Linked DNA regions of Pelodiscus sinensis. The protein of the gene in region 1 purifies or fractionates together with the protein of each later gene. This does not show direct contact. Links are inferred from orthologs where the notes say so. Each region holds a gene or a part of one and is shown in the gene's direction. Other genes may lie near its edges. The genes, in order: COPG2, COPE, COPZ1 and NUDCD1.

Evidence for each region.
Region 2: the proteins of COPG2 (region 1) and COPE purify together in Homo sapiens (affinity purification with mass spectrometry; 5 studies listed by BioGRID and IntAct, with this or other methods). This does not show direct contact. The link is inferred for Pelodiscus sinensis from reciprocal best matches to the Homo sapiens genes COPG2 and COPE.
Region 3: the proteins of COPG2 (region 1) and COPZ1 fractionate together in Homo sapiens (co-fractionation; 5 studies listed by BioGRID and IntAct, with this or other methods). This does not show direct contact. The link is inferred for Pelodiscus sinensis from reciprocal best matches to the Homo sapiens genes COPG2 and COPZ1.
Region 4: the proteins of COPG2 (region 1) and NUDCD1 purify together in Homo sapiens (co-immunoprecipitation; 3 studies listed by BioGRID and IntAct, with this or other methods). This does not show direct contact. The link is inferred for Pelodiscus sinensis from reciprocal best matches to the Homo sapiens genes COPG2 and NUDCD1.

What each region holds. Positions count from the first base shown.
Region 1 is NC_134711.1:3,627,610-3,635,446, forward strand, and holds the start of COPG2 (coatomer subunit gamma-2), read left to right. Parts: upstream 1-4,824; 5' UTR 4,825-4,924; coding exon 4,925-4,961; intron 4,962-7,837. UniProt on the Homo sapiens protein: The coatomer is a cytosolic protein complex that binds to dilysine motifs and reversibly associates with Golgi non-clathrin-coated vesicles, which further mediate biosynthetic protein transport from the ER, via the Golgi up to the trans Golgi network.
Region 2 is NC_134729.1:19,360,063-19,367,561, forward strand, and holds the start of COPE (coatomer subunit epsilon), read left to right. Parts: upstream 1-4,489; 5' UTR 4,490-4,538; coding exon 4,539-4,655; intron 4,656-5,319; coding exon 5,320-5,382; intron 5,383-7,499. Other genes in the region: putative ATP-dependent RNA helicase DDX49, read right to left, coding at 81-268, 940-1,061, 2,078-2,163, 3,258-3,381, 4,137-4,251. UniProt on the Homo sapiens protein: The coatomer is a cytosolic protein complex that binds to dilysine motifs and reversibly associates with Golgi non-clathrin-coated vesicles, which further mediate biosynthetic protein transport from the ER, via the Golgi up to the trans Golgi network.
Region 3 is NC_134729.1:1,253,848-1,261,188, forward strand, and holds the start of COPZ1 (coatomer subunit zeta-1), read left to right. Parts: upstream 1-4,338; 5' UTR 4,339-4,360; coding exon 4,361-4,480; intron 4,481-7,341. Other genes in the region: protein mono-ADP-ribosyltransferase TIPARP-like, read right to left, coding at 601-772, 894-1,249, 2,244-2,489. UniProt on the Homo sapiens protein: The coatomer is a cytosolic protein complex that binds to dilysine motifs and reversibly associates with Golgi non-clathrin-coated vesicles, which further mediate biosynthetic protein transport from the ER, via the Golgi up to the trans Golgi network.
Region 4 is NC_134712.1:29,337,167-29,345,055, forward strand, and holds the start of NUDCD1 (nudC domain-containing protein 1), read left to right. Parts: upstream 1-4,885; 5' UTR 4,886-4,974; coding exon 4,975-5,209; intron 5,210-7,889.

The sequences.
Region 1 (7,837 bases):
GCTCAGACTAGCTACGGAAATAAAGGGAAACAAGACGACTTTTTATAAATACATTAGAAGCAAGAGGAAGACCAAGGACAGGGGAGCCCCATTGGTCAGTGAGGAGGGAGAAGCAGTAACGGGAAATTTGGAAATGGCAGAGATGCTTAATGACTTCTTTGTTTCGGTCTTCACCGAGAAGTTTGAAGGAACGCCCAACATAGTGAATGCTAGTGGGAAGGGGGGAGGTTTAGAAGATAAAATAAAAAAAGAACAAGTGAAAAATCACCTAGAAAAGTTAAATGCCTGCAAGTCACCAGGGCCTGATGAAATGCATCCTAGAATACACAAGGAGCTGAAAGAGGAGGTATCTGAGCCTCTAGCTATCATCTTTGGAAAATCATGGGAGACAGGAGAGATTCCAGACTACTGGAAAAGGTCAAATATAGTGCCCATTTATAAAAAGGGAAATAAGAACAACCCAGCAAACTACAGACCAGTTAGTTTAACTTCTGTGCTAGAGAAGATAATGGAGCAAGTAAGTAAGGAAATCATCTGTAAACACTTGGGAGGTGGCAAGGTGATAGGGAACAGCCAGCATGGATTTGTAAAGAATAAATCATGTCAAACCAATCTGATAGCTTTCTTTGATAGGATAACGAGTCTTGTGGATAAGGGAGAAGCGGTGGATATGGTATACCTAGACTTTAGTAAGGCGTTTGATATGGTCTTGCATGATGTTTTTATCAATGATTTAGGCAAATACAACTTAGATGGGGCTACTATAAGGTGAGTGCATAACTGGCTGGATAACCGTACTCAGAGAGTAGTTATTAATGGTTCACAATCCTGTTGGAAAGGTATAACAAGTGGGGTTCCACAGGGCTAAGTTTTGGGACCGGCTCTGTTCAATATCTTCATCAACGATTTCGATATTGGCATAGAAAGTATGCTTATTAAGTTTGCAGATGATACCAAGCTGGGAGGGGTTGCAACTAATCTGGAGGATAGGGTCATAATTCAAAATGACCTGGACAAATTGGAGAAATGGTCTGAGGTAAACAGGATGAAGTTTAATAAAGACAAATGTAAAGTTCTCCACTTAGGAAGGAACAATCAGTTTCACACATACAGAATGGGAAGCGACTGTCTAGGAAGCAGTACAGCAGAAAGGGATCTAGGGATTATAGTGGACCACAAGCTGAATATGAGTCAGCAGTGTGATGCTGTTGCAAAAAAAGCAAACATGGTTCTGGGATGTATTAACAGATGTGTTGTGAGGAAGACACTAGAAGTCATTCTTCTGCTCTACTCTGCACTGGTTAGGCTTCAGATGGAGTATTGTGTCCAGTTCTGGACACCGCATTTCAAGAAAGACGTGGAGAAATTGGAGAGGGTCCAGAGAAGAGCAACAAGAATTTAAAGGTCTAGAGAACATGACCTATGAAGAAAGGCTGTAAGAATTGGGTTTGTTTAGTTTACAAAAGAGAAGATTGAGGGGGGACATGATAGCCGTTTTCAGGTATCTAAAAGGGTGTCATAAGGAGGAGGGAGAAAACTTGTTCATCTTGGCCTCTGAGGATAGGACAAGAAGCAATGGGCTTAAACTGCAGCAAGGGAGGTTTAGGTTGGACATTAGGAAAAAGTTCCTAACTGTCAGGGTGGTCAAACACTGGAATAAATTGCCCAGGGAGGTTGTGGAATCCCCATCTCTGGAGATATTTGAGAGCAGGTTAGATAAATGTCTATCAGGGATGGTCTAGACAGTATTTGGTCCAGCCATGATGGCAGGGGACTGGACTCGATGACCTTTCGAGGTCCCTTCCATTCCTAGTATTCTATGATTCTATGATTCTCTGTGGTAGATGAGGAACTGAGGGGAGAGGGTCGGGCAGCGCTCGACTGTCAAACTGCCGGCCGTGTGAGACACCTGCTGCACAAGCACGGCTCGACTAGATACTGCTTAGAAGACGCTCCGATCTGCTGGGACAAGATCGGTATACCTCCTTTTTTGAGGCATAAGGAACTTGCGCAAAAAAGGGTTTTTGCGCAAAAATAAAACGTCCACACTGCTTATTTTTGCGCAAAAGCTCGTAGCGCAAAAATGGATTGGCAGAAAATATGCAAATGAGATTATGACTTATGCTAATCAGACCCTCATTAACATAGTTTCTGCCGGAAGAACTCACAGTGAAGACAAAGCATTAGTGTGGTTCACCATCTCATGCAGTGGCACCTAGACCACAGCAACAGATAAGCATAAGAGACCTCTACAGCCGTGGTCACCAACCGGTCTCTCGCGAGCTACTGGTCGATCTCGAGGCCTCAACCAGTCGCTCACGAGGCGTCCTGTAAGCCCCGCCCCCATTTCCCTCCCACCCCCCAGAAGCCCCACTACTTACCTCCAGAGAAGACGGAGGTAGTGTCGGCTTCTGGAGCGCTGGGGTTTGGCCCCGGGGCTTCCCGGCGCGGGGAGGGGGTTGGCGCCGGGACAAGCACCCGCGGGGCTTCCCTGCGTGGAGGGGGGAGTTTGCCCCGGGGCAGGCGTGCGCACGCGGGGCTTCCCTGCGCGGGTGGGGGGGTCGGCCCTCTGGGCAGGTGCGCGCGAGGCTTTCCTGCACGGGGGGGGTTTGGCCCTGGGGCAGGCACGCACATGTGGGGCTTCCTTGCGCGGGTGGGGGGATTGGCGTCCTGGGCAGGTGCACGCGCAGGGCTTCTCTGGGGGGGGGGGGGGTTGGCCCCGGGGCAGGCACACGCTGGTTTCCGGAGGGGGGGAATGCTGGGAGGAGGGAGATGCAGGAGACTCTCTGCCTCCACTGGCATCCCACTCCCCTGTCCCCACTCCCCTGTCCTCAACTACAGAATGCTGTCCCCATTCCTGTCCCCACTCCCCGAATTCTGTCCCCAGCTACAGAACTGTCCCCACTCCCTGAATTCTGTCCCCATTCGCGTCCCCACTCCCCGAATTCTGTCCCCATTCGCGTCCCCACTCCCCGAATTCTGTCCCCATTCGCGTCTCCACTCCCCGAATTCTGTCCCCATTCGCGTCCCCACTCCCCGAATTCTGTCCCCATTCGCGTCCCCACTCCCTGAATTCTGTCCCCATTCGCGTCTCCACTCCCCGAATTCTGTCCCCATTCGCGTCTCCACTCCCCGAACTCTGTCCCCACTCCCGTCCCCACTCCCCGAACTCTGTCCCCACTGGCACTCTGTCCCCTGCTGCAGAATCCTGTCCTCTGCCCTCCCAGCACCCTGTTCCCTCTCCCCTGCTCCCAGCCACAGTACTCCGTCCCCACAAAATGTATAATTATAAATGCTTCATTTTAGATTTAAAAAGCATGAATAAAAAACAGACCATTTATTTCAAAACTATAAACACGTGATTTTAATAGTATGTGATTTTAATTGTATGTATCGCATAATTTAAAAATAAACTGTTTATCAGAGTGTGTAAGTAAGGGCTGGGGATAGCAAGTGATGGACAGGAGGAGAATAGAGAGGGCGGGGCTTCAAAGAAGGGGAGGGGCTTCAAGGAAGGGGCGGAGCGGTAGATCTTCGCCTGTTCTGAGATTTAAAAAGTGATCTTGGGTGTAAAAAGGTTGGAGACCACTGCTCTACAGTATGGCTTGAGAGGTAGCTAGATTTTTAGCTCAAAAGGTAGAGGCTCCTCTACTAAACTCCAGAGGCCCAGGTTCAAATCCACCTGGTTGTGGTTACAAGATGTTGCAAAGGCAGTGACATTTTTCACAACTCTGACCAACAGAGCTAGATTGACCACAGTTTTATGAGTAGAACAGACCAGTCGTGCTGACCCTTTCCCACGTGAGCAGTCCAGTGAAGGGGCGGGATAGGGAGGGGGCGGTGCTGGGAAGACCACATGGAGGGCATCTCTGTCAAGTGACCAGCACGTGTACAGCTGTGTGCAAAGGAGCAAGTGATGGTTTCAGAGGCTCTACCCTTTGCGACGCCTCCCACCCAGGACTACGGAATATTCATTATCCCCAAGACTCAGCATTCATTCTGCAGCCATTCATCTTAGAAACAATGGACACTATTTTATAATTATTGTGACGTTTCCTAAACTTATCATGATAGAAATGTAGCCGTGTTAGTCTGGTGTAGCTGAAACAAAATACAGGACCATGTAGCACTTTAAAGATTAAGATGGTTTATTAGGTGATGAGCTTTCGTGGGCCAGACCCACTTCCTCAGATCAAATAGTGGAAGAAAATTGTCACAACCATATATACCAAAGGATACAATTAAAAAAAAATGAACACATATGAAAAGGACAAATCAAATTTCAGAACAGAAGGGGAATGCGGGGGCAGGTAAATGTCTGTGAGCTAATGATATTAGAGGTGATAAATGGGGAAGCTACCTTTGTAATGGGTAAGATAATTAGATTCTTTATTGTTTTGATTATTTGATTATTTATTGTAAGATATTTATGAGATAATTAGATTAACAATAAATAATCAAATAATCAAAACAATAAACAATCTAATTATCTTAGATAATGATTATCTTGGGGATAATGAATATTCCGTAGTCCTGTCTTTTGTTTCACCTAAACTTCTGGTTACACTCCTGCTCCTAACGGTGCAGAGCCTATTCAAACGCACGTGGCCAGCCCCTTGCGGCGCGGAAGCGAATCGGGAGAGGAGACGCTGCTCCCAGCCAGGGGCGCTGTCCCTTTAAATGGGAGCCGCTCCCACCCGGAGAGCCAAGGGGGCGTGTCCCGGATGTGGAAGGCCGCGGCTAGGCTGGAAGGGGGCGTGGAACACGGCGTCAAGCCGGGGCAGGCCGAGGGGGGGGCGTGGCTTCCTGGTGAATGGCGGGCCGGCGGGCCAATCGTAGGGTGCGCTGCCGGGTTTGGGGCGGGCCTTCCGGCGGGCGCTCTTTCCCGGCTGCGGCGGCTCTGAGGGAAGCGAGCGGCCCCGAGATGATTAAGAAGTTCGACAAGAAGGACGAGGAGACCGGTACGGGGGGGAGGGGCGCGGCCCGGGCGGGGTCTCCGCCCCTTCCCGCTCCGGGCAGGCCCGCCAGGCAGAGCCCGGCCCGCCTGCCGCCCCCGCTGGGAGGGGCGAGGGGGCCGGACCAGTCGGTTCTGTGGGGGGGAGGGGCGAGGGGGCCGGACCAGTCGGTTCTGTGGGGGGGAGGGGCGAGGGGGCCGGACCAGTCGGTTCTGGGAGGGGGGGGCGAAGGGGCCGGACCAGTCGGTTCTGTGGGGGGGGGGCGAGGGGGCCGGACCAGTCGGTTCTGGGAGGGGGGGGCGAGGGGGCCGGACCAGTCGGTTCTGTGGGGGGGGGCGAGGGGGCCGGACCAGTCGGTTCTGGGAGGGAGGGGCGAGGGGGCCGGACCAGTCGGTTCTGGGAGGGGGGGGCGAGGGGGCCGGACCAGTCGGTTCTGGGAGGGGGGGGCGAAGGGGCCGGACCAGTCGGTTCTGTGGGGGGGGGGGCGAAGGGGCCGGACCAGTGGGTTCTGTGAGGGGGGGGGCGAAGGGGCCGGACCAGTGGGTTCTGTGAGGGGGGGGGCGAGGGGGCCGGACCAGTCGGTTCTGTGAGGGGGGGGGCGAGGGGGCCGGACCAGTGGGTTCTGTGAGGGGGGGGGGGCGAAGGGGCCGGACCAGTCGGTTCTGTGGGGGGGGGGGGGCGAAGGGGCCGGACCAGTCGGTTCTGTGGGGGAGGGGCGAAGGGGCCGGACCAGTCGGTTCTGTGAGGGGGGAGGGGCGAGGGGGCCGGACCAGTCGGTTCTGTGAGGGGGGGGGCGAAGGGGCCGGACCAGTCGGTTCTGGGAGGGGGAGGGGCGAAGGGGCCGGACCAGTCGGTTCTGGGAGGGGGAGGGGCGAAGGGGCCGGACCAGTCGGTTCTGGGAGGGGGAGGGGCGAAGGGGCCGGACCAGTCGGTTCTGGGAGGGGGGGGGCGAAGGGGCCGGACCAGTCGGTTCTGGGAGGGGGGGGGCGAAGGGGCCGGACCAGTCGGTTCTGGGAGGGGGGGGGCGAAGGGGCCGGACCAGTCGGTTCTGTGAGGGGGGGGGGCGAAGGGGCCGGACCAGTCGGTTCTGTGAGGGGGGGGGCCAAGGGGCCGGACCAGTCGGTTCGGGGGGGGGGGCTGGACTACACGTAAGGGCGTGGGGGGGGTGTTTCTACCCAGCCCCCCCCCGCTCTGCACTGTTGTGGGGGGCACAGCCCTGACTGCTCCTGGGGGGCTTGGCTGCGGGGTGACCCTGCCCCTCTGGCTGTGGGCGGGAGCAGTGGGAGCTGGTTCAGTCTGTTTCTGGGCTGCCCGGTGGAGGCAGCTGGGCTTCAGGCCTGGCAGCAGGAGGGAGGCTTCATCCGTGGCCCTGTTCTGCGCCCTTCCTCTGGTGACTGTTGGGGGTGGGAGGCTGGGTAATGTGCCTGCCGTTTTCCATCCAATGTGTGGAATAATTTTACCTGCGCCCGTGCACCATCAGTGGAAACACAGACCTAGCCATGGGCCGCTCTGCCAGCCAGCGGGGAGGCACTGGACTCTCCTGAGCTGCCGCACAAGCCGCTTACAGGGAACACCGGTGCGGGGCTCGATGGACCAATGGTCAGATCTAGCGTGGCCTATGCACGCGCCCACCCCAGCGTGTTGGGCTGGGGGAACAGCACAGTTCAGTTTCTTTCATAATGAATTTAAAAGCACATTCAGTGTTCCAGATAAAGCTATTGTCACATTTTTGGTGTGGTGTCACTTCTGTGGGGCAAGTAGGCAGCTGTGTTGGTCCCGGGATATTATGGAGACAAGAAGGACATGCTCTTTTATTGGAACCACTTCTGTTGGTGAGAGAGACAAGTTTTTGAGCCACATGGAGCTTTTCATCAGGTAAGGTATTCTGAGGCCACATCTTTACTACAGAGAAGATCAACACTGTTGCAATTGATCTTCTGGAGTTTGATTTAATGGGTCTGGTAAAGACCTGCTAAATCAAACTCAGAGGGTCCCCCTGTCAACAGTATTCCTGCTCCTTGTGAGGAATAAGGGAAGCCAATGGGAGCATAGAGTACATCAACTCCATCTACATAATTAATGTAGCTGGAATTGTGTATCTTAATTCAACCTTCCTCATTTAGTGTTGATCTGGCCTCAGTGTGGCATCTGTTTCATCTTGTTTTTGAGCCACAAAAGCTCTTATCTCACCAACTGAAGTGGGTCTAATAAAATTTAATTAAAGTATTATGTTCTCCGCTCATTAGCATGATGGTTTGCTACGCCAATCCTTGAAGGTGTCAACTTCTTTATGGCCTAGTAGACATGTAGATAACTATATGCTAGTGTTCGGGGGCAAAAAAATCTTCTCATGAATGGGAAGCTTTTATGAGTGGCTGCAGGAGTTAAGCAAGGAGTCTTTTCAGAATTTACATTTTATATTTAGCAAATTCTTTGAGACCTTGTAATTCTGAAAATAATCTTCCAACAGGGAACTGTCACCTCTTAATTCTGCAGACACAGCTCCCTTGCTGCTGTTGTTTCTTGGCAAAGTTCAGAGGGACAAAGGAGTAGAACTAATAAGACTAACCAATTTTACTTCTGAGGGATAGCTGTCTTAGTTTGTAACTTTAAAACACTTAAATGGCAGGTGGTCCTGTAGCACCTTAGAGACTAACAAAATATATATAATATCATGAGCTTTCGTGGGCAAAACCCACATCCTCAGCCCTTATGCAGAAGTGAAACTGTCAAAAGTCTTGTCAATTACCTGCTGCTATTGACACCAGGGATATGTGTAGGCTGCAGTAAGACACCTACAGCTGGCCCCTGCCAGTTGAGTCTGGCTTACTGGGCTCTGGCCAAGGGGCTGTGTAGACATATCCTTCAAACAGTTGGGTTTG
Region 2 (7,499 bases), on another chromosome or scaffold:
CACCGATCCGCTGGAGCGCCGCCCGGAACGCTGGCTGCTGGGGGAAGCCCAAGACTCTGTCGCACCCTGGGGAGACTTACTCGGCCTGAGACTCCCAGAAGAAGGGCTTGTTCATGGCGAGGCTCTTCAGCTCGTTCAGCGTGTCCGTCAGCGTGGCACTGAAGAGCAGCGTCTGCCTGGTGGCTGGAACTGCCCCCAGAATCACCTCCAGATCCTTGGTGAAGTCGGTACAGCCCTGCTCCAGCAGTCGATCGGCTTCGTCCAGAACCTTCAACGGGCAGCACAAGCCAGGCTGAGGAGCGGCAACCCCTAGCAGAGGGCCTCCTGGCCTCCCAACCCAGCGCTAAAGCCCACTCTGTGGCCAGGGCGAAATCACCGTCTCTCGGCCTCAGTTTCTAGAGAGCCCTCCCCGCCTTGCCAGCTGGGTGTAAGAGCAATCCATCTCACGCTGTTATGTGTTAGCGCCACATGGGGCCATGACCGAGGTATGGCAGAGGACTGGGCAAGGGAGACTGTTTCACAGCGATGAGGCCTAACACAAGTTTCCCCGGACAGATTTTGAGCCCCCAAATGCTTCACCATAGCTAGTGGCCGCCCCAAACTCAGCGAGGTGACTACACAGAGGGATTGACGTGCGACTGACGCGGCAGGTGACAGGCAAGACAAGAGAGGGGCCTTTGCATGATGGCAGGAGAGTGACTGGGCGCAGAGAGGCTGTGTCCACCAACGCAGGCGCCCTCCGTCAGTCAGCACCCTGATACCATGGTGAGGGGCTCCTCACACGCGCCATCAACTCATTCTCTTGCAGGGCCCCTTCTGGGACAAGCCGGCCCATTTCCACACCCCAGCAGCTGGAAACGTGGCTGTTCGGCTAATGGAAAACTCAAGCACGTCGGCCCAGCCCAAGGTCCCCCCGCCGCAGCCGAAGAGCTGCCTTACCAGGAACTTGATCTTTCTGAGGCTGAAGGTGTTGGAGCTGCGGAGGTGATCGGCCAGCCTTCCAGGCGTGGCGATGACGACGTGAGGCTTTCGGGAGAGCTCCAGAGCCTGGGCCACCATGTCTGGAACAACACCACCAAGGGGGCTGAGCTATGTGCTGCCTGGGCCCGGGCGAGCAGCCAGCCTCATCCTACACCACGTTCAGTGCCCTTAAGTCGCACCCACCACAAGGGGAACAGGGCACGCCCCATCTCACAGGGCTGGACACTAAAACTGGCACCACATAGAGGAAGAAACCCAGGACACCACTGTGAGAAACAGGTTTCTCTTAAACGCATCTGCTATTTCGGCCTTTTCAGCAGCCCTCTCCAGCTACGTAATGTTGCGAGGGGACAACACACAAAGCAGGATTTCCAAAGGCGCGTTTGAAAATCCCAGCCTGAGCAAACTGGAGTGACGCTCGATAGCGTCGGTCTGACACCTCCTAGGCTACATCTATATTGTGGCAGGTTTTCGCAAGAGGAAATGCAAATCTCGCACTCATTTGCCTTTCCTCTTCTGTGTAGACGTAGCCCTAGGCAGAGCACAACAACTTCCTGGCAAAGAATGTAGCGTCCAAGGGAGAAAGTCTCACCCACCAGGCGTGACAAGGACACTGCCTCATTCCTAGCGAGAGACCGGGCCACAGTGGCACCCAAATGCGGCTTAACTGGGCAGTTCACTAAGAGGCACTTGAGGGCTTCTGTTTGTTTCTTAATGAACAACAAATCACACAGCTGGCAGCCATGTCTGCTCAGAGTGTCCCCTCAATGATAAAGGACACCAGCAACAAACCCTTAGTTTAGCCCTCCCCTTGTCGTTGCTGGGAAGGGACCGCCATACATTAAATCCAGAGAAATCTGTTAACGGGTGAGAATCGCTATATTTTGGTCCATTTCAGGTGAGTATAAGGCTTTCCTGAAACTAGACAATTCCACGTTTGGGAAAAGCGGTTTCCCTAAAACCGCCTTCTCCCCCAGTCGCGGCACAGATTTCAGAACTGAAACGGCCCAGCAGCCCCCCTTAAAGCGAATGAGAGACTTAACGAACGGCGCCTCGTCTTGGCACAGAGGCCGGTTCTTAACCAGCGCGCACATACCCATCCCGCCAACGATGATGCAGTCCTTCAAGCCAAGCGGCTTCCCCAGAACCCGGAACTGTTCAGCAATCTGATAGGCCAACTCCCTGGTGGAGAAAAAGAAGGGAAAAATTGGACGTGGAAAGAGCAGCATCCGCCCGTGTGTGAGCAGTACCTGACAACCAGCTTCCTAGTGAGTACTGGGCCTGCCAAGGTCCCCAGAGCTCAGTGAAAAGGTGGTGGTCCCAGATACCAGCAGCTGTTAAGATCCCCCAATCTAGGGCAAAAAGGACTAAGGTAAAAAGGAAACTAGTTGGAGACCACAGTTGGCCTGAATTAACAAATGCAGCCCAAGGAGGAGGGTCGTGCACCTCCGAGGCCAAGAAGGAAGCTCCTGCCACCCCAGCGAGGGCTGAGAAGTTCTCTGATCCTGAGGGGAATTCTTTTGGGGGAGGCTGAATTAAACGAAGAGAAGTGGATCCCAGCAAAGGGGACCATTGCGGAGGCAGCTTGTTAAACCCTTCTCCTGCGATCCAGAAATTATTGAGGGTTACGCTGGCAGGACTTGGTCCTAGCAGGATGGGCACTCTGGAGCAGCACTGCTCCAAACTCCGGTGCTCAGGATGCAGACAACCAGGAATGCAGGGAAATGACAGCAGCAGCAACCAGGAAAGTTGTTTGCCCAACATCTGCTGCCCTTTGGCAGGTTAAAAAAAATCTGATCGAATGCCGTGGTTATATTGCAGTCACATGGCAGGAGATCAGCGACTAGAGAATGAAAAGACTGGGCTTGTTTACCACAGAAAGCCATAACAGGGTAAGATTAAAGAATATAGAACAATTCAGACACAGCACCCATCTCCTGTCTTGGTCTGAACATTGAAACTAGAGAACGCTTAAATATTCGGCATAAACACTTTAGGGGAGGGAGAATATACCAATCCACCTCCCTTGTACCTTTCTCTGAATCTAGTACTGGCTGCTGTCAGGGCCAAGGCACTAGACATGGGCTATTGGTATGAGTCAATATAGCTATTCCTAAAAGGTCCACACACTCAAAATCCCATTACCAGGCATGGCTGGAGCAGTGACAGATGAAGCTGTCTTCTCCTCTGATGACGGAGTGGCATGGCGAGAATCATGTCTCTCAGGAGACAAAGGGGTTTGTGGAAAAAAACCCAGAGACACGATTCATGCTCACCGTGTGGGCGTCAGCACCAGGCAGAATATACCATAGGGATCCTCAGAGAGTTTCTGCAGAATCGGCAGGACGAATGCAGCCGTCTTGCCGCTGCCAGTCTTGGCGCAGCCCATGCAGTCGCGACCTGCGGATCAGCGGTTCCTGGTTAATGTGCATGGGGAGCAGAACCGGGAGAGCCCCTTCAACCCTCCACCACTTGACCCCGATAGCCAGGGAACATTTTCACTCCAAGACACAGGTGATAACACAGAGTGGGGGGGGAGAGGGGAAAAGAACCAGGGGCTCCACCATGGCAGATGCCGGGGCGGGGGGGAGGGAAGGGGGAGTGCCCAGTGGGGCAGAGACAGAATGGGGCACCCCAACAAGGGAATAATGGGGGGTGGGCCCTCATAGGTTGTAGGTGGATGCCGGGGGGGGCCCAGAGTGGAGAGAGGGGGCGGTCTGGAGGGAGAAGCCCAGAAAGGGGGGATGCCGGGAGGAAGGGGCGGAGGGGGAAGGGAGCCAGAAGCAGGAGGGAGGGAGCAGGTCCGGAGGGGGGAGCCCCATAAGGGGAGATGCGGGGGGGCGGAGGGGGAAGGCCTGGAGGGGAGGTCCGGAGGGGGGAAGGAAGGGGAATGCGGGGGGGGGGGGGCAGAAACGAGAGGGAGGGGGCAGGTCCGGAGGGGGATGCCGGGGGGGGGGGCAGGTCCCGAGAAGAATGCAGGGGGGGGGGCGGAAGCGGGAGCCGGTCCGGGCGATGCCGGGGGGGGGGGCAGGTCCCGAGGGGGAAGGGAGGGGGATGCGGGGGGGGGGGCCGGAATCGGGGGGGGGCCGGGCCGGAGGGGGATGCCGGGGGGGGGGGAGGTCACGAGGGGGGGGTTCCGGGGGGGCTCCCCTCACCCTGCAGGATGGGCGGGACGCAGGCGGCCTGCACCGCGGTGGGGCGGCCCATGCCCAGCTGCTGCGCCTGCTCCGCCAGCCAGGCGGCCAGCCCGAGCGCGCGGAAGCCGGACATGGCACCGGGGAGAGGCCGCGCCGGCTCCTCGCACGCGACGGGCGCCCACTTCCGGCGCTGCCCATGCGCGTCACCAGCCCCGCCCGCTCCCATTGGCTCCCCGCTCGCAGCCCCCCCCCCCCCCGGGAAAACTACCACTCCCGGCGCGCCCCGCTCCGCGCCCACTTCCGGTGCCGGTGTTTTACCGCGCAGCCCCCTGGCCCCGTCCTTAGCGTGCGCCGGAAACTACGAGCCCCAGCGTCCTGTGCGCGGCCCGGCTTCCGGAGACGTGTCCGGGTCTGGGGGAAATGGCGGCGGCGGGCCCGGCCGGGCAGGGGGGGGACGCGGACGAGCTCTTCGACGTCAAGAACAATTTCTACATCGGCGCCTACCAGGCCGCCATCAACGAGGCGCAGCGGGTCAAGGTGCGGGGGGGGGGCGGGGTTCCCGGGCTCCTCTGCCCCCCCCCCGACGGGCAGTCTCCCCCCTCGCCCTGCCCCGCCCTGTGGGGGGGGAATCTACCCCCTCCCCCCTCTAGTCCCCTCCCCTCCTCTGCCCCTCCCCCTCTACACCTCCCCTAACCCCCTCCCCCCTTGCCTACAGCGCCTCTAGCCCCGCCCTGTGGGGGGGATCTACCCCTTCCCCTCCTCTAGCCCCCTCCCCCCTCTGCCCCTCCCCCCTCTTTACACCTCCTTTAGCCCCGCCCCGTGACGGGGTCTTCCTCTCCCTCATCCCCTCTAGCCCCGCCCTGTGGGGGTGTGCCCATCCCCCCTCTTTACACCTCCTCTAGCCCCGCCCTGTGGGGGTGTGCCCATCCCCCTCACACCTAGCCCCTCCCTGTGGGGGGGGGTGTTCGCACCCCCTCTTGTCCCACCCAAATCAAATTCCAGTGCCCCCTGGCACGGGGGACTCTTCCCTCTTCTTTTTACATGGATTACATCTTCGTGTGCCCCCCCCCCAACACTGACCCCAGTGGGTCTTTTCCCCCACTGAGGTATGGGTGTCACTTCCTGGCTCAGTACTGTGTCATTATTTCAGGGGTCGAATATTGCTGGATAATGAATCTTCTTCTCCCCCTTGTTCCTTTAGCTGGCCAGTCCAGAAAGGGAGGTGGAACGGGATGTCTTCTTATACCGAGCCTACATTGCCCAGGTGAGCTCATGGGCCCTGTGTGGAGAACAGCCCGGTGTGAGAACAGAGCTGAGATTAGGGATTTCTGAGTTCAAATCTAGCACCTCCATCTCTTGAGGTCTGACATTGATTTCTCCTACCACCTTGGGGCCCATCCCCTCCACCCTGATTAGCACTGTGATGAGCACAGTATAAACTTGCTAGACCTTTTTGGCCTGAATTTCCCCATCTTTGCAACTGGAGAAATCCAGGAGTGAAAGTAACTTCAGTTTCTTACTGTTGCGGTTATATTGCAACCCCATTTCTCTCCACTCCCACACACTTAACTTGATGGATCCTTTTGCATGCTTTTGATATAGAGAACTTGTTTACACTGCCACTTACAGCGCTGAAACTTTCCTTGCTCAGAGGTGTGAAAAAACACACTCACACACCCCCAGATGATGCAAGTGTAAGTTCTGTAAAGTGGCCATGTAAACAGTGCTCTGGTGCTGGTAGCTATTCCCTTCGTGGAGGTGGTTTTATCACAGCACTGGTAGAACCCTCTCCCGGTGCAGGGGCTGTAACTACACAGCCACATTACAGCGCTGCACAGCAGTACTTTAACGTCCGCCGTGTAGACATGCCCTTAAAACTACTACCGATGCTCTAAAATAAAATGTTTTATAATTCTCTGATTGCCCTTACAGCTGATCTTGCTCTTCTCGTTGTGCCCCCATGATGTGAGAGGAATGTGCTGCACGTTGGCCCTTTAGGGTTTATTGAATGTCTTATTTTCTTAGGCGGCATTTTTTCCCCACTTACTCTAAGTTATGTGCCTGCCGTGACAGACTTGACCAATAAGAAGCAAACGGAACTCAAAAGCTAATGTTCAGAACCACGAGAGTGCCTTTCACCTGCCAAGGAAAGGCCGAAGGGGAGCAATTTTGTTTTGAGAGAATGTAAAATCTATGAATTCAAGTGATATATCTGATTTTTTTTTTATTGCTACAGTTTAACCTGTACTAAATGCTTCAGCCGCTTTCATACCAGTATGCCCTACCAGCTTATTTTTACCTCTGAGGTAACTCTTCTCTTCATGGTTAATCTGCCCGTTCAGGTTGGTTGGCCTTGAGGGAGGAGCGTGAATAGTTTTTGTTGACCTTTTTATTGGCTGGTTTCAGGCATTTGATGTATTTCTGAAAATTTTCAGTTTGGGGCTGAAACCCCTCTGCCCTGCCCCTATAGTCCATGCTTAGTAAAAACCCCTGAGTAATTTTGGAATGTGTGGTCATGAACATATTTCTCTCTTCTCAAGGCTTTGTAGTTCAAATAATTTTTAAAAGGCTGGATTTTAAACATTCCACGGACTTCTCCTATTGGGCTTCCTGGGTTAGAAATTGAATGATCTGTTCTGAAGCTCTTACCAGCTCACTCAATAGTTCATGTGAATCACAGTATGAAAATGATTACTCAATTTACATAAAAACAACGAGGAGTCCTGTAGCACCGTAAAGACTAACAGATTTATTTGGGCATAATCTTTTGTACCCATGAAAGATTATGCCCAAATAAATCTGTTAGTTTTCGGGTGCCACATGGCTCCCTGGTATTTTTGCAGATAACAGACAAATACAGATATTCCTCTGAGGATACGTCTAGATTACAGGCTTTTGTTGACAGAAGTTTTGTCAACAGATACTGTCGACAAAGCGGCTTGCTTTGTCGACAGAACTGGATGTAGTCTAGACACGCTTTGTTGACATGACAGGGTAGACGCAAAGGACAGTGTAGATGCAGTAACGCCTTCTGTCAACAGAACTCTGTCGACAAAAAGCGTTATTCCTCATAGAATGAGGTTTACCGCCGTCGACAAAACTGCTGAGTTCTGTCGACGTTATGTTGACAGAACTCAGCGGCAGTGTAGACGCAGGTATAGTTTTGTCAACAAAAGTCCACTTTTGTCGACAAAACCCTGTAGTCTAGACACACCCTGAGAATTTAAGTAAATTGCAAATAAAATATAGCATACATTGTGAAAAGTGGCTTTTAAAAGTTTTGTTTAACACTCTCACATTGTGTTAGTACCACAAACAGTGGGGATTCATTAATAATGATCTTGCATTGATTGGGGGTGTCTGTCTCATTTCCCCAGAAGC
Region 3 (7,341 bases), on another chromosome or scaffold:
GCTCCAGCCCGCTGGTCCCCCGGCCACGCCACTCCCCCGGCCACGTATCTGCTCCAGCCCGCTGGTCCCCCGGCCACGCCACTCCCCCGGCCACGTATCCGCTCCAGCCCGCTGGTCCCCCGGCCACGTATCCGCTCCAGCCCACTGCTCCCCCGGCCACGTATCCGCTCCAGCCACGCTGCTCCCCCGGCCACGTATCCGCTCCAGCCCACTGCTCCCCCGGTCACGTATCCGCTCCAGCCACGCTGCTCCCCCGGCCACGTATCCGCTCCAGCCACGCTGCTCCCCCGGCCACGTATCCGCTCCAGCCCACTGCTCCCCCGGCCACGTATCCGCTCCAGCCCACTGCTCCCCCGGCCACGTATCCGCTCCAGCCCACTGCTCCCCCGGCCACGTATCCGCTCCAGCCACGCTGCTCCCCCGGCCACGTATCCGCTCCAGCCACGCTGCTCCCCGGGCCACACACCTGCTCCCTGCCTGCTGCTTTGTCCTGCTCCCCTCAGCCACACCCCCCCTCCAGCCACGCTGCTCTTCACACCAGACCACACAGGCCTTTCTTTTCTCCCCCGCCCCTCTCCTGGGATCCCCCCCTTCCCTCACCTCCTCGTACACGAGCCACTGGCCCCACTCCTCCCAGTACACCTGCCACTCCACGGGGAAGTAGGGGTTGCGGCTGGGGTCGCTGGTGTTGGAGAGGCGCCGGACGCGGTCGTAGAGCTGGTGGGGCGTCAGCTCCATGGAGTTGAGGTCGAGGGTCCAGGACGAGCCTGGCCTGGGGGGGAAGCAGGAGAGCTGTCACTGAGGGACACCCCCCCCCCCCACGCTGGCAGCGAGCATCTGGGCGACGCACCCACCTCTCCCGCCTGCCGGGCCACGTCCCCCCAGCCACCTACTTGTCCAGCAGCTGCACCTCGCGGTGGCTGGGGCTGCAGTAGAGCTTCTCCAGGAGCTGCTGGGCGGCGGGGCCCACGCTGAGCCACACCCCGTCCGCCTGGCGCCGCACCTGCCAGTGGAAGGGCTTGGGGGTGTGGTGGCGCAGGCAGCGGCCCCCCGCCGGGCACTGCCCCAGCAGGAAGTCATCGCAGATCAGGACGCCGTCTCGCTGGTGGACGTGGACCTCCTCCGGGCCGGCCAACTCCAGCACCTGCCCGCCCCGGCCCAGCCCCTGGGGCTCCGGCGCGAGCAGCAGGGGGTGCTGGGCCAAGCCGAGACGGCGGCGCTTGGGCTTCTCCGCCATCAGGGTCAGGCCCTAAGGGGGGGAGAATCAGGCCAGAGCTGGGGCCAGACTGGGTCTGGGGTTCAGCTTTCTGGGGGGCCACAGGCTGGCAGGGCGCTGGAAGGATCTGAAGGGGGATGCTACCCCCAAGGTCAGGGAACTGGTCCGGGGGGTGGGTCAGTGTTGGCCCCGACTCTGGAGCAGCTCACGCCTGATCATGGGAGGACTCCCCTAGGATTCCAGCACCGGGGGTAGGGGAATCACCCCCAATTTGCAGATGGGGAAATTGAGGCTCCGGGCCAAGGCAGGGGCTCGGCCAGCAGATCCGTGGTGGGGCTGGCAGAGGAACCCAGGTGTCCTGCGAGCCAGTCCCCTGGCCTGGCCTCCTGCCCCTCTTTCCCCCGTGCTCGGCTTATTATAGAGGGAAGCTGCCCCGATTCTCCAATCTGCAGTCCCCCCCAAAGCCGAGTCCCCCAGAGCCCCAGCGACTGGGACCACAGAGGTGAGGCCGGGGGCACAGAGCCAGCACTGCCCGGCTGCCAGGCTCCTGGGGCATTGACTCGGGGGGGGGCATGGGTCCCGGAGGCAGACAGACCGTCTCCTCCCCCACCCCTCCTCCCCATCACTCACCTCCTCTGCTGCCGGACAGGGCTCTTGCTTTTGCTTTTGCTTTGCTGAGTCACGGGTCCGCGGTGGAGAAGCCCAATCAGCCTGCCACCTGCGCAGGGCCCAGGGGCTGGGGTTTCCCCCGGCTCCCGGCCCTCCCCCCCCCCTCGCAGGGTTGCAGTGAGACCAGTCGGGGCCCGGCCCAACGCCCCACAACAGGGCAGGGCAGGCTGGGAATGGACGCCTTGCCCCCAGGAGCAGCCAGTGAGCCGGTGGTAAAGCAAGACAGAGAACCCCAGCTCCCCTCTAACTCCCTACACCCCAGCCCCTCCCCAGAGCCAGCAAGAGAAGCCAGGAGACCTGCCCCCCCCCCCCCACGTCCCGCCTCCCCATGGGCACCGCCAGGAAATACAAACACGACCTTGGCACAGCGTCTGCCTGGCCCAGCTCCACTTTCTCTTTCAGTTCCGCTCCCTGCACCACGCTGCCCGTGGCACACGGAGCCCAAGGGGGGGGCAGGACCAGCTGCACAGAGTGGCACCTCCTTGGGGGGATGTTGTGGGGAGTGGCCCTGCGGGGGGGGGGGTTGCTTTTGCTCTTCCCAGGGTGTAACCGGAGTGTGGCTTGGTCTCTCACTGCCCCCACCTGCTGCCGTCCAACCAGGCATAGGCCGGAGCCAGGCCTGAGACAGGATTCAGCGGATTTCCAGGAGGGGTGAGAGGTCTCTCAGTGCACAGGGCATCTCCAGTTCATCCCTGGCCTCTGCTCTATGCACCCCCCGCCCATGTCACTGCCGCCCCAGACCAAACCCAGTCAGCCAGCTGAGCCACGCCTCGGCTGCACCAGCTAGCCCAGAGCTGGAGCAGTCCCAGGATGGCGTCCCACCGCACGGCTGCAGCCAGGGAAGAATCCTAGGAGGGGAAGGGACCTTGAGACGTCAAGTCCAGTCCCCCGCCCTCACGGCAGGACCCAGCACCGTCTAGATCATCCCTGGCAGGCGTCTGTCCACTCTGCTCTTAGATATCTCCAGGGAGGGAGATTCCACGACCTCCCCAGGCAACTGATTCCAGCGTTTCACCCCCCGGACAGGTGGGAAGATTTTCCTCATGTCCGACCTCAACCTCCCTGGCTGCAGAGCCTTATTTGTTAAGGAACAAAATAAAGTGCCGGTGACCATAATAATAAAAGAAATCCGTCTCCGGCACAGCGAGAAGATCCGCCCGGCTGCAGAGTCTAGCTTCCCCTCTGGGCCTTATTGCTCCTTCTGTGCACGGCTGCTCCGCCCAGCCCCCTTTCAGAGGGGTTCACCCCTGTAGCCAGGGAGCCAGACTGGATTTCCTCTGAGTCCCGAGGGGCAGCCTGGCCTGTCATACGCTTTCTGCCCCTCTCTGCCGGGTGCTCCACACAGCTCGGCTTCCTCTAGCAGAGCCCACCTCTTGTTACCTCCTTCTTTCCGAACCTCTTTCCAACTGCCTCCTCCCCAGCTGAGCCCCCGTCCCTCGGCTTCAGGAGCTGCCCTCTCGCTAGGGGCGGGGTCCCTCTCCCCAGGCAGCGTTGTCTGCTGCTGCATCACAGCTGCAGGGCCCAGCACTCCCCCTCTTGCTCCAAAGTGCAGCAGAAGCTGGAGCTGGGGCAAGTGTAACCCCCGGGAGGGGGGGGGGGATTTCACACTTTTCCCCTCGTGACCCAGTTTGGAAAAAATTGCGGATGCGCGTGACCCAACGTAGTGTGGCTGGGGCCGAGGTGGGGAGCTTTGTGGGGCAGGAGGGGACTCCACTCCCACGGGCCGGGAACCCGCTGCCGGCTGCGTCTGGGGCGCAGCCCGGTGTGAGGGGCCAGGCGGAGCAGGACGCTGCCTCAGCCCCCGGTGCACTGCAGACAGGCAGCAGGTTCCCGGCCGGCGGGAGTGCGGGGCGAGTGCTCGGGGCAGGGAGCCCCGTGTGCTCCCCCCACCCCAGGAGCCAGGCCAGGCCGGGGGCTGCCTTAGCCCCCCGCTCTCCGGACCCCTGCAGCCCGGGCGACGCTCCTCAGCCCAAGGCCCTGGGCCCTGCTGGGGGGTGTCGGGGCGCGGGTCAGGGGCCCCCCCCCATGCCTGGGCCATGTGCCCCCGTGGGGCTAGCGGGGAAACTGAGGCACGGGGTGGGGGGGGTGACATATGGAGGTCACATGGGTGCACACCCCCAGGGGGAGCCATTGGCCTGCGGGGGGGAGGGGAATGACTGGCCCCGCCCACCAGCATGACTCCTCCCCCTGCCCTCAGGGTCATGACCCCCATGAAGGCGGGTCGGGGCTGCTTCCGGTCATGTGACGTGCCGGCGAGGGGCCTGACGTCACCGCTTCGCTGGTCGCCGTGGGAACTAGCCCGCCCTCCCGGCGCTGCGGCGGGGGCGGAGCGAGTGACCGACAGGGGCGCCTTCCAATCGCCGAACACGCTCTCCGAGGGCGGTGGGGCGGGGCCCAGCGGGCCCCGCCCACTTATTGGAAGCCACTTTCTGGTTGGCTGGCCGGGATAGGGTCGCCAGCCAATGAGCAGTTAGAATGCGGAAGGGGGCGGGGCCCCGAGCTGCGATTGGCGGGCGAGTAACCAATGGCGCGCGGCCCCTGTCGCTCCGGCTCCACGTAGGCATCGCGGAGGGCAAGATGGAGGCGCTGATCCTGGTAGGAGCGGGCCGGGGGAGCGGGCGCCGCCGGGGGGGGCTGAAGGGGGAGGGGCACAGCCCCGGGGGGGGAGATTGGGGAGGGGTCGCTGCTGATGGGGGAGGGGCACAGCCCCGAGGGGGGGAGATGGGGGGAGGGGCACAGCCCTGGGGGGGGGAGATGGGGGGAGGGGTCGCTGCTGAAGGGGGAGGGGCACAGCCCCGGGGGGGGGGGAGATGGGGGGAGGGGTCGCTGCTGATGGGGGAGGGGCACAGCCCCGGGGGGGAGAGATGGGGGGAGGGGTCGCTGCTGATGGGGGAGGGGCACAGCCCCGGGGGGGGGGAGATGGGGGGAGGGGTCGCTGCTGATGGGGGAGGGGCACAGCCCCGGGGGGGGGGAGATGGGGGGAGGGGTCGCTGCTGATGGGGGAGGGGCACAGCCCCGGGGGGGGGGGAGATGGGGGGAGGGGTCGCTGCTGATGGGGGAGGGGCACAGCCCCGGGGGGGGGGGAGATGGAGGGAGGGGCAGGGCTGATGGGGGAGGGGCAGCTCTGTTAAACCCTTCAGGGCAGCTCTGGTCTGGGGAGGGATCCGTGGGGCTGGAGCCAGGGTTGGGGGATGAATCTAGGGGAGTGAAAACCTCTGTGGGCTTTGTGTGTCTGGGCCAGCAGCTGTTCGAGGGCCGGGAAGGTGAACCTGCCATGTCTTGGCGCAGAAACATCCCCGGCCTCAAGCTTTTATTACCTTGTACCCCAGAGCCCAGCCGTCCGGAGGGTTGTTCTGAAGGGTGAAGTCGTTCTGTGGGTACGATTCCTTCCCAGCCAAGTAGCCGGCTGGGTGATCCGGGAAGCCCTGCTACTTGCTTGCCCGTATTTTTTGTTGGCGAGTCAGGGCTCCTGGCTTCTGTTCCCAGCTCTGCCACTGGCCAGCTGCTGGACGTGACGTCCCTGCCTCAGTTTCCGCTGCTGTCGCCATCTTTCTTTGTAAAGCGGTCGGAGGCCTACTGAGGCTGCCGACACCTGGTCTAAAGTGCCCTTCTGTCTTGCTGCCCGCAGCTCCCTGCCTCTCTCCTTTGTCTGCAGACAGATTCCCTAGTCGCCTTTGCTGCTAATAATACTAAAGTCCGAGCCACAGTGCTTGGCTGCGTGCATCTCTCCTCTGGCCCCGTGCCCTAGTTCGGGTCCTGGCAGCGAGAACCGGCTGTGGCACAGCTACTGTTTGCGTGCTGGACGGCCGAGCGCCCGCTTGCATTGGCTGAAGTCTCATTTATTGACACGTTTGAATGACACCGTCAGCCCCGTGTGTGCCCCAACGCGGGGCGTCTTGTTGGCTTGACACGGCCCTCGGCCCAAACCAAAAGCCTCCAGAGAGACCAGGCCGCAGCGTCCCGCCCGCCGGGCCCTCTGCCCCAGAAGCGCGTGTTACAGCTTTAAAACGTGGGTTGCTTCGCTGTGCTCCGCAGTGCAGCCTGGCTCCGGAGCCGTGTAAAATCCTCTGGCTTTCTCTGCCGGGCTTGCGTCTCCTTTCCGCGCAGAGGGGCTGGGAGGGGGAGAGGCAGCGCTTTTCCCTCTAGCTTGCCAGGCTACTGAGAGTTACAAGCCAGGTGCCAAAGAAGCTTGTGGCTTTTCAAGCTGCTTCCTTTGGATTGTGTAGCCCTGCCCTCCGGGTCGGTCCCCTTCGCCGCCTCTAGAGAGGCTGGGTCCAGTTGAGGGTGAGCCGTCTGGGGGGCAGGGCTTGGAGGGGAACCTAGATCTGCAGGGCTGCCCATCCAGCTGAGCCCCGCCTTGGAGGGGAATCTCCGGACCGGGACGGGATGCAGTTACGGGCCGGCGTGGGCTTGAATAAAGCAAAGTGCGTCTGCAAATCCCATCCGGCCACGTTGATTCTGTGCGCTGGTTAGTGGAGGAAGGGCAGTTTAACCCCTCACGCGCTGGGGGGGATTAAGCGAATTCGGAGTAAGGCCCCCTTAGCCCGGAGCGAGAGCGTCCACACGCTGCGTTAATGGGATTGACTCCCCATGGTGACAAGCCCAGAAGAGTCACTGGTCACTTGCGGTGCTGTCCGGGGGGGCAGCGGGTGCCTGGTGCCTCTGAGCATTGGGCCTCAGGTTGTGCGCCCCCCAGTCAGACCCTTAGGGTGCCCCACAAAAGGAGGACCCTCCCCCCATGGCTTGGTTGCTCCTGGCAGGTTCAGCCCGTGGTTTGGATTCGGGGCTGGGGCTGAGCCCGGCTTTCTGACGGGGCCCTTCCTGAGGGCAGGGGCCGCAGGATCTGGCCCATTCCCTGCCGCCTCGGCCGTGCTTGGCTCCGGGGGGAGCCCCCTCCCGAGAAGCCAGGCTCCTGTCCTCTCCCCCTGCCCCTGGAGACACAAGGAGGAGCCACTCTGGGGAGGGGCCCTTGGGGTCGCAGAGACGGGGCCCTGCCATGCTGTGCCCCAGGGAAGCCAGTCGGGGGCCCGATCCTGGACTGTGCTGGGCACTGGCGGCCTCGATGGAGGGCAGAGGGCATCCCGGGCGATTGGCTGCATGTGGGGCAGGCCCTGGCAGCCTCCCCCAGGGGCCGGTTCTCCTTGGCAGAGTCTCAGCTGCAGGGGAGGTTACCGGGCCCCGCTGGGAAGTGCCTTGCCCGCCCCTGACCCACAGGCGGGTGGGTTCCTGCCCCGTGGCCTGGCCGGGGGCCTGGGGGGCCCGTGCCCCGATGCGGAGCCGCAGCGTTTGAGGTGAAGTTCTGTGTTACACTCCGGCCGTGGCTACGAGGGGTCAGTGCATCACAGAACTTTGTCTCGAGAGCTTCTTAGCGTCTGTCTCCTGGGCCCCCCACCCCCTCGCGTGCTCTGCAGCCCTCGCCGGGGGGGTCCTGGCCCACGGGGGCTCTGCCGCAGGCT
Region 4 (7,889 bases), on another chromosome or scaffold:
GGGGGGGGGGGGGGGGAGGGAACGCAGGTAGTGCGCCCTCCCCCCTCCAGCAGACCAGGCTTTTGTTGCAGGACGCCTGGGGTAGAGCAGCTGGGGTGCTGCCGGGTTGGTCCTACGGGGACCTATCCTGCAGCGCCCCAGCTGTTCTGTCCCAGGAGTCCAGATTCAGCCGCTGTTGAAACTGATCAGCGGCTGATTCCAGGAATCCGGGGGCAGAGCAACTCTGCCTAGGGCTTCCTGTAGTCAGCCGCTGATCAGTTTCAGCAGCAGCTGAATCTGGAGCCAGTTCCGACTTACATACAAATTCAACTTAAGAACAAACCTATAGTCCCTATGTTGTACGTAACCCAGGGACTGCCTGTACAGTAAAACTCTGATGGTCTGGGATCTGTTGGTCCGGCACTCCTGATGGTCTGGCACCATCAGGAACCCGGAAGTGCTCCAGGCAGCCGGACCATTGGAGCTGCTATGCCCCCAGCTTCCCCGATTCAGCTGCTGCTAAAACTGACCAGCGGCTGACTCCAGGAAGCCCGAGGCAGAGCTGCTCTGCCCCAGGCTTCCTGGAATCAGCCCCGATCAGTTTCAGCGGCGGCTGACTTGGGTACACCTGGGACAGAGCAGCTGGGGTGCTGCCTGGTTGGTCTCGCAGCGCCACGGGTTGGCGCTACCAGCCGCTGTTGAAACGGACCAGCAGCTGACTCCAGGAAGCCATGGGCAGAGCAGCTCTGCCTCAGGCTTCCTGGAGTCAGCCGCTGATCAGTATCAGCAGCGGCTGACTTGGGGACACCTGGGGCAGAGAAGCTGGGGTGCTGCCGGGTTGGTCCAGTAGCGCCGAGGAGTGGCGCTGCGGGACCAACCCAGCAGCACCCCAGCTGCTCTGCCCCAGGCGTCCCCAATTCAGCTGCTGCTGAAACTGACCAGCAGCGGCTGAATCAGGGACGCCTGGGGCAGAGCCAGACTATTGGAAGGGGGGGCTATGAGGGGTTTGAGGTGGCATTCCCCCCACCCCAGAACCCTTATAGTCCCCCCTTCCGATAGTCCGGCAAAACTAATAATCCGGCACCCTCTGGGTCCTAAAGGTGCCGTATTATCGGAAGTTTACTGTATTCACTGCTGATGACTCAGTCAAACTGTATACAATAATCTTTGCTTCCTGAATAACTAGTGTTTTCTGCACTTTCATCTTCATTTCAGAAAACTGGTAAAAAGAGAAAAACTCACAGCTCTTAAAGTTGTGTGCAGTAGTATTGTAGCCATGTTAGTCTCAAGATATTTTAGTCTATGGGTGGGCAAGATACTATCTTTTGTTGGATCTACTTCTGTTGGTGAGAAAAATCTACTGAACTTAGGCTGTGTCTACACTTTTCAAAGTGCAGCCACACCAGCGTTTTGAACTAAAAGTGTGGCCACAGAAGGAGCATTCTCCTAAGGCACATCTAGAGTACATCCCTCTGTTGGCAGACCAGAAAAGCTCAAAGTAAGCTCAAAAGTCCCTGGAAAAATCATGGAGGGGATCCTCAAGGAATCCATTTTGAGGCACTTGGAAGAGGGGAAGGTGATCAAAAATGGTCAGTGTGGATTCATGAAGGGCAAGTTGTGCCTGACCAACCAGAATGGCTTCTATGATGAGATAACTGGCTCTGGGGAGATGGGGAAGTCAGTGGATGTGATATACCTTGACTTTAGCAAGGCTTTTGATACGCTCTCCCACAATATTCTTGCCAGCAAGTTAAGAGAATGTGGATTGGCTAAATGGACAGTAAGATGGATAGAAAGCTGGCTGGAAGGTTGGGCCCAGCGGGTAGTGATCAATGGCTCGATGTCAGGATGGCGGTCAGTTTCTAGTGGAGTGCCCTAAGGTTCGGTTCTGGGACCAGTTTTGTTCAACATCTTTATTAATAACCTGGATGAGGGGATGGATTGCACCCTAGGCAAGTTTGAGGATTACACTAAGCTAGGGGGAGAGGTAGATACACTTGAGGACAGAGATAGAGTCCAGAGTGACTTAGACAAATTGGAGGATTGGGCCACAAGAAATCTGATGAGGTTCAACAAGGACAAGTGTAGAGTCCTGCACTTGGGACGGAAGAATTCCAGCACTGTTACAAGCTGGGGATCAACTGGCTAAGTCGCAGTTCTGTAGAAAAGGACCTGGGGATTACAGAGGATGAGAAGCTGGACATGAATCAACAGTGTACCCTTATAGCCAAGAAGGCTAATGGCATAGTAGATTGCATTAAGAGGAGCATTGCCAGTCGATCCAGAGATGTGATTATTCCTCTTTACTTGGCTCTGGTGAGGTCACGTCTGGAGTATTGTATCACATCTGGAGTATCCAGTTCTGGGCCCCCAATTGCAGGAAGGATGTGGATGCACTGGAGGTTCCAGTGGAGGGCAACCAAAATGATTAGGTGGCTGGAGCATATGACCTATGAGGAGAGGTTGAGGGAGTTGGGTCTATTTAGTCTGCAGAAGAGAAGAGTGAGGGAGGATTTGATAGCATCCTTCAACTTCCTGAAGGGAGGTTCCAAAGAGGCTGGAGAAAGGATGTTCACAGTAGTGATGGATGGCAGAACAAGGAACAATGGTCTGAAGTTGCAGTGGGAGAGGTCCAAGTTGGATATTAGGAAAAACTATTTCACTAGGAGGGTGGCGAAGCACTGGAATAGGTTACCTAGGGAAATAGTGGAGTCTCCATTCTTTGGCTATGTGTACACTGGCGGGTTCTTGTGCAAGAACATCATCCACACTTCCACGTGCGTGCTGTGCTTTTGCGCAAGAGCTCCCATGGCAGTGTGGACGCTCTCTTGCGCAAGAAAGCTCTGATGGCCATTTTAGCCATAGGGATTTCTTGCGCAAGAAATCCCTGCCAAGCGTCCACACTGCCCTCTTGTGCAAGAGCTCCTGCGCAAGAGGGCTTACACCTGATAAAAAAGAGCATAACTCTTGTGCAAGGAGCCCTCTCTTACCATGCCATACTGTAAATTTCCTTGCTCAAGAGCGGGCGGGCAGTGTGGACGCTCTGCAGATTCTTGCGCAACAACGGCCGTACTTGCGCAAGAAGCCAAAGCCACGAGCGTAGACATAGCCCTAGAGTTTTTTAAGTCTCGGCTGGGTTGATGTAATTGGGATTGGTCCTGACTTGGGCAGGGGGCTGTACTTGATGGCCTTCTAAGGTCTCTTCCAGCTCTATGGTTCTATGATTCTATGAAAAGCTTGTCTCCATCACCAACAGAAGACGGCCTAGTACAAGTACAATCTCAGAGTTATGAACACCTCAGGAATAGAGCTATTTGTAATTTTGAACATTATATTTGTTCTTTCGAAAGTTTACAACTGAACATTGACTTAACACAGCTTTGAAACGTCACTATTCAGAAGACAAATGCTGCTTTTAGCCATCTTAATTTAAATCAAACAAGAACAGAAAAAGTACTCTTACATTTTCAGTTTTTAAAACTGCCTGTTTTAGTAGTTTAACACCAGGGGTGGGGAACCTCAGGGCTGGATGCAGCCCTCAGCGTGCCTAGATCCAGCCCCTGAGGATCATTCCCCCACCCCCGCCCAGCATTGGGGAACCCATACTGGTACTCCAGCCCCCACTGGTACTCCACAAAATCTACTAGGCTAGGCCCCCACCAGGCTCTGGTGTGTGAATGGAATGTGGGGAGTGTCTTCTCCTCAGTTGGGGGCCACAGTGAAGGTTCCCCCCCACACACTTCTCACTTGGGTATCCCCCCCAACAGAAAACTGATTTTTCTGTGGGTCATTGGCCCCGACCTAAAAAAGGTTCCCCACACCTGATTTAACACTGTACTGCATTTCCTTTTTTTTTTTTTTGGGGGGGGGGGCGGTAATCTGTTGCTGCCTGACACGTCAGTCCATAACTGTGGTTCTAATGTAAAAGATACTATCTCATCCACCTTGTCTCCCTACAGTTCTTAAATTCATGGCTGTAATTAGATTACGCCAGATATTTTGATGAAGCTATGTAGAAGTTTTTGCTGCCTGTGTTAATTTAGTAGTTTAATGTTGATAAAAGGATCAACACAACTGACTCGAGCCACTTCACATCTATCACCTAACCTGGAGATCTGGTACTTCAGCCCAGACTTGATTGAGGAACGGCTGCTCACTGCCCTGAACTACAGAGTGGTGCAAGTCCAGGCTCAGATAAGAGACTGGGGGGGGGCAAACAAATCCGGCCACGCTTGCGTCAGTCACACCGAGCGGCTGCCTCTCTCCTCCCCGTGTAATGGAGCCACAGCCCGGCAAAGCGGGGCTGATACGATAACGTCGCAGGCGCTGCATTTCAGGAAACGTTTTTAACCAGAGGCCCCCGCAACCCGTCGAGCCTCTGCCGGAGCAAGGGCGCAATTCCACCGCAGCCCGCCCGCCCGAATGGAACTCCTCAGCCAGCGAGCCCACCCCGGCCTGCTCTCAGCCCCCCCCCCCCACCGGGCAATAACCAGCCCCGCTCCGCCAGCCTAGTGACCACGCCCCCTTCCCCGGCCTGGGAGACCGGCCTGAGGAGCGCCCGGCCCGCCAGGGCAGCATGGGGCCACACCACGGGGGAGCTCGGGCCTGGGCCCAGAGCCGGGAATGGGGGCGGGGATTTCAAGCCGAGTCCCGCGGCTCCCCGCCCGCCCCTGACCCCTCCTGGAGAGAGCAACTCCGGACCCCCGGACTCACCCCCGCGGCGGCGCGCTCAGCTCTGTAGGAGAAGAAAGCGACGCAGTCTCCCAGGGAGAATCCAGCACGGCCAAGCCCCTGCCCGCCTCTTCGCGCAGGGAACCCTGGGAAATGGAGTGCACGACGCGCTTTCCCTCGCTCGGTTTAAAAACTACAACGCCCAGCATGCTTCACGATCGGGGCGCTAGGCGGCTCGCTCTCCGTGCGGCATACAACTCCCAACATGCTCGGCGACTGGCCCGAGCAGCCCCTCGCGGCCAGAGCCCTAAAACTACCATTCCCATGGTGCTCCGCGGACTGCACGCTAGTTACCTTCTCCAGTGGCTTCTCCCTGCTTCCTCACAGCCTCCTTCCAAACTTTTCGCCGTTAGGCGGCAACTCCCGGCGCGAGCGACGGCGATGGAAGCGGCGGCCAACTGCTCCCTGCGGGTGAACCGGCAGCTCTTGGATCCCAAGTTCGAGGGCTACAAGCTGTCCCTGGAGCCGCTGGCCTGCTACCAACTGGGGCTGGACTCGGGTGAGGGGCGCTGCGGAAACGTGGCGGCGGGGCAGCAGCGTTTGGGGGGCGCGCGGGAAGGGTTTGTTCGGGCTCCTGGGGGGGGGGGGGGAGGCTGCTTGTGGCCGGGGAGCCCCGGGGCGGCAGGTTTGTGGGTGCTGCCAGGGCCAGGTCGCTAGTGTTTGCTTGGCTGAAGCCTCTCCGCCGCGGGTTGCTTTGCTATGTCCCGGCTGCTGGCCTCCGGGCAGAGGCGGCTGCCCATCCCAGTGGGGTAAAATTATTCAAGCCCCAGGTGCCTGGCAGGCTGTGGTTGTGCTCCCCTACAGGGCTGGGTAAATATTCTCCGGATCATTGGGAAACAACATTCCCTCCCCTGCCGTGCAAGGCCAAGCCTGACTGGTAACTGTTCCAGGTTTTGGTGCATTCTGGTCTACACTAGGGATAAGTTCAGATTAAGATTTGCAACTCGCGCTAGGTCAATTGCTTCGCAGGAGTTGACTTATCTTAATACGAGCTTTGGCTCTGTCCACATAGTGGGAGGTCACCGAGAGAAATGCTTCTCTCGACTTGCCTTACTCCTCACAGGAGCACCCTTAGCGTTCAAGTTAGCCAGTCTTTACTAGGTTTGCTAAATCGAATGCCAGAAGATCACTCTCCTGAGCCTTAATTAATGGGTAAGTATAGACAAGGCCCTGGAGCCATGTGTGCAGTATGGGCTAAGAATGTGTAAATTTAACCATGTAAACAGTTAACCAGTAACTCTGGATTTATCAGTTAATATTCACACGTGCATGCAGACTCCTGTGGTAGCTGGCTCCGCAGGAGTGGGGCTGCAGGTGGGAGCTGGTGTGCCTTGGGAGGCGTCTTAAGCTGACTCCCAGCACACACCACCTGCCAGGGAGCTGACTGTCACCCCACATGTAACCGTGTAACCATTTTTTTAGCAGTTACATAGTTAATTAAATGCATTTTAACATTTCTAATACAGACAGAGGTTGCCTTTGTCAGTCTGGGCTGGGATCCTTGACTGATATATGTGAGCAGCAGACTCTAGTGTAGGCCTGCGCTTTCTCCAGAGTCCCTGTAAGTCTTCAAGAAAAACTTTTGAGTGGTTTTGAGGGTTTTATATTTTAGCATTGGATCTTTAAAATATTTAATTAACGCATAGTTGTCGTTTTAACACGCCTCACTCTCCTCATACACCTTCATCAGTAATATAGTGATGTCCTTGTAGGTGAGCCTTCAATTCCATCTTTTATGTCGACCTCTTTTTAATAGGTGTCCTGATGAATTTCAAGCCTGCAGATTTTTCTGGTTTTTGGAAAGGCAGAGCAGCCCATTTTCTTCCTTCCCATTCTGAGACTTTTCCCAAACTCTCGTGGGTAGAAGTTTTACTCTAGTGTCTGTCGTTGTAGCCTAAGGCCAGGTCTACTCTAAACCCGGCAACTCAACTTAAGGTACGCAACTCTAGCTACATAGAATATGCTCCCATTAGCTTCTCTTGCGCCTTGCAAAAGGAGGAGTGCCAGTGGGGCACTTTAGTTAAGACTTGCTAAATCGAACTCCGGAAGATGGATCGTGGCAGTGACAATCTTCCTTTTAGTGTAGACAAATCCTGAAAAATGTATGAACAGCCATAGGTGAAATTTACATGTTCTTTATTAGTTTCAAAGCTGCTCAGGGAACAGAAGCTCTGAAACTGGCTTTGGGGCCTTTTCACTCTTGCTTCTTGGGAAAATTACAAGAAACAGCAGAGATACGGGAATTGCCTGTATGCAGACCATAGTATTGCTAACCATAAGTGTTTATAACTCATAAGCTACAGCTCAAAGTAACAAGGTTAGCTTAAAAATTCATGAGATGTAAAACAATGGGGGTTCTTTTGATTAGCCTTTTAGTTTTTTGTGCCTTTAGAGTGCACATTTTAAAGCTTTGTCTTTGCAGCTGTTAGAGATATCCTTTCTCCTTTTTCAAAATGAAAACTGAGATTTTCATGTAAAGTTGATATAAGATGGAGCTTTAAGAAAAACATTGGATGTTATGGGAGTTGGGATCAAATCATAAAAATTAGCATCCCTGCACTCTCCAAGAGGTGACTACACCCAGTTTTGATGACACAAACTTCTTCTGTGGAGGTGGAAGTTTTTATCTTCCCTTCCCTTTATTGTCAACCAGTCATGTAGTGTATGCTACAATAGGTTTTTTGTTGAGTTTATTGACCTCTAGCATGTTTTCCTCAGTGACCAATTAGCCACTGTGGCCAGTACTTTGAACTCTGCTGCTCTGCAGCCAGATAAACAGATGCATCCCTCCCAACTGCAAATCCTGGGAATTAAAAAAAAATCTATTTCCTGGTGTCTGGCTCGTTGTATAGTGGTCCTCATGGCATCTTCTCAGTGAGCCAGTGGTGGGTAGTGATAGAAATGTAGCCGTGTTAGTCTGGGGTAGTTGAAGCAAAATGCAGGACAATGTAGCACTTTAAAGACTAACAAGATGGTTTATTAGATGATGAGCTTTCGTGGGCCAGACCCACTTCCTCAGATCAAATAGTGGAAGAAAGTAGTCACAACCATATATACCAAAGGATACAATTAAAAAAAATGAACAAATATGAAAAGGACAAATCACATTGCAGAACAGGAGGGGGATGCGGGGGGGGGGGGGAAGGAAGGAAGGTAAGTGTCTGTGAATTGATGATATT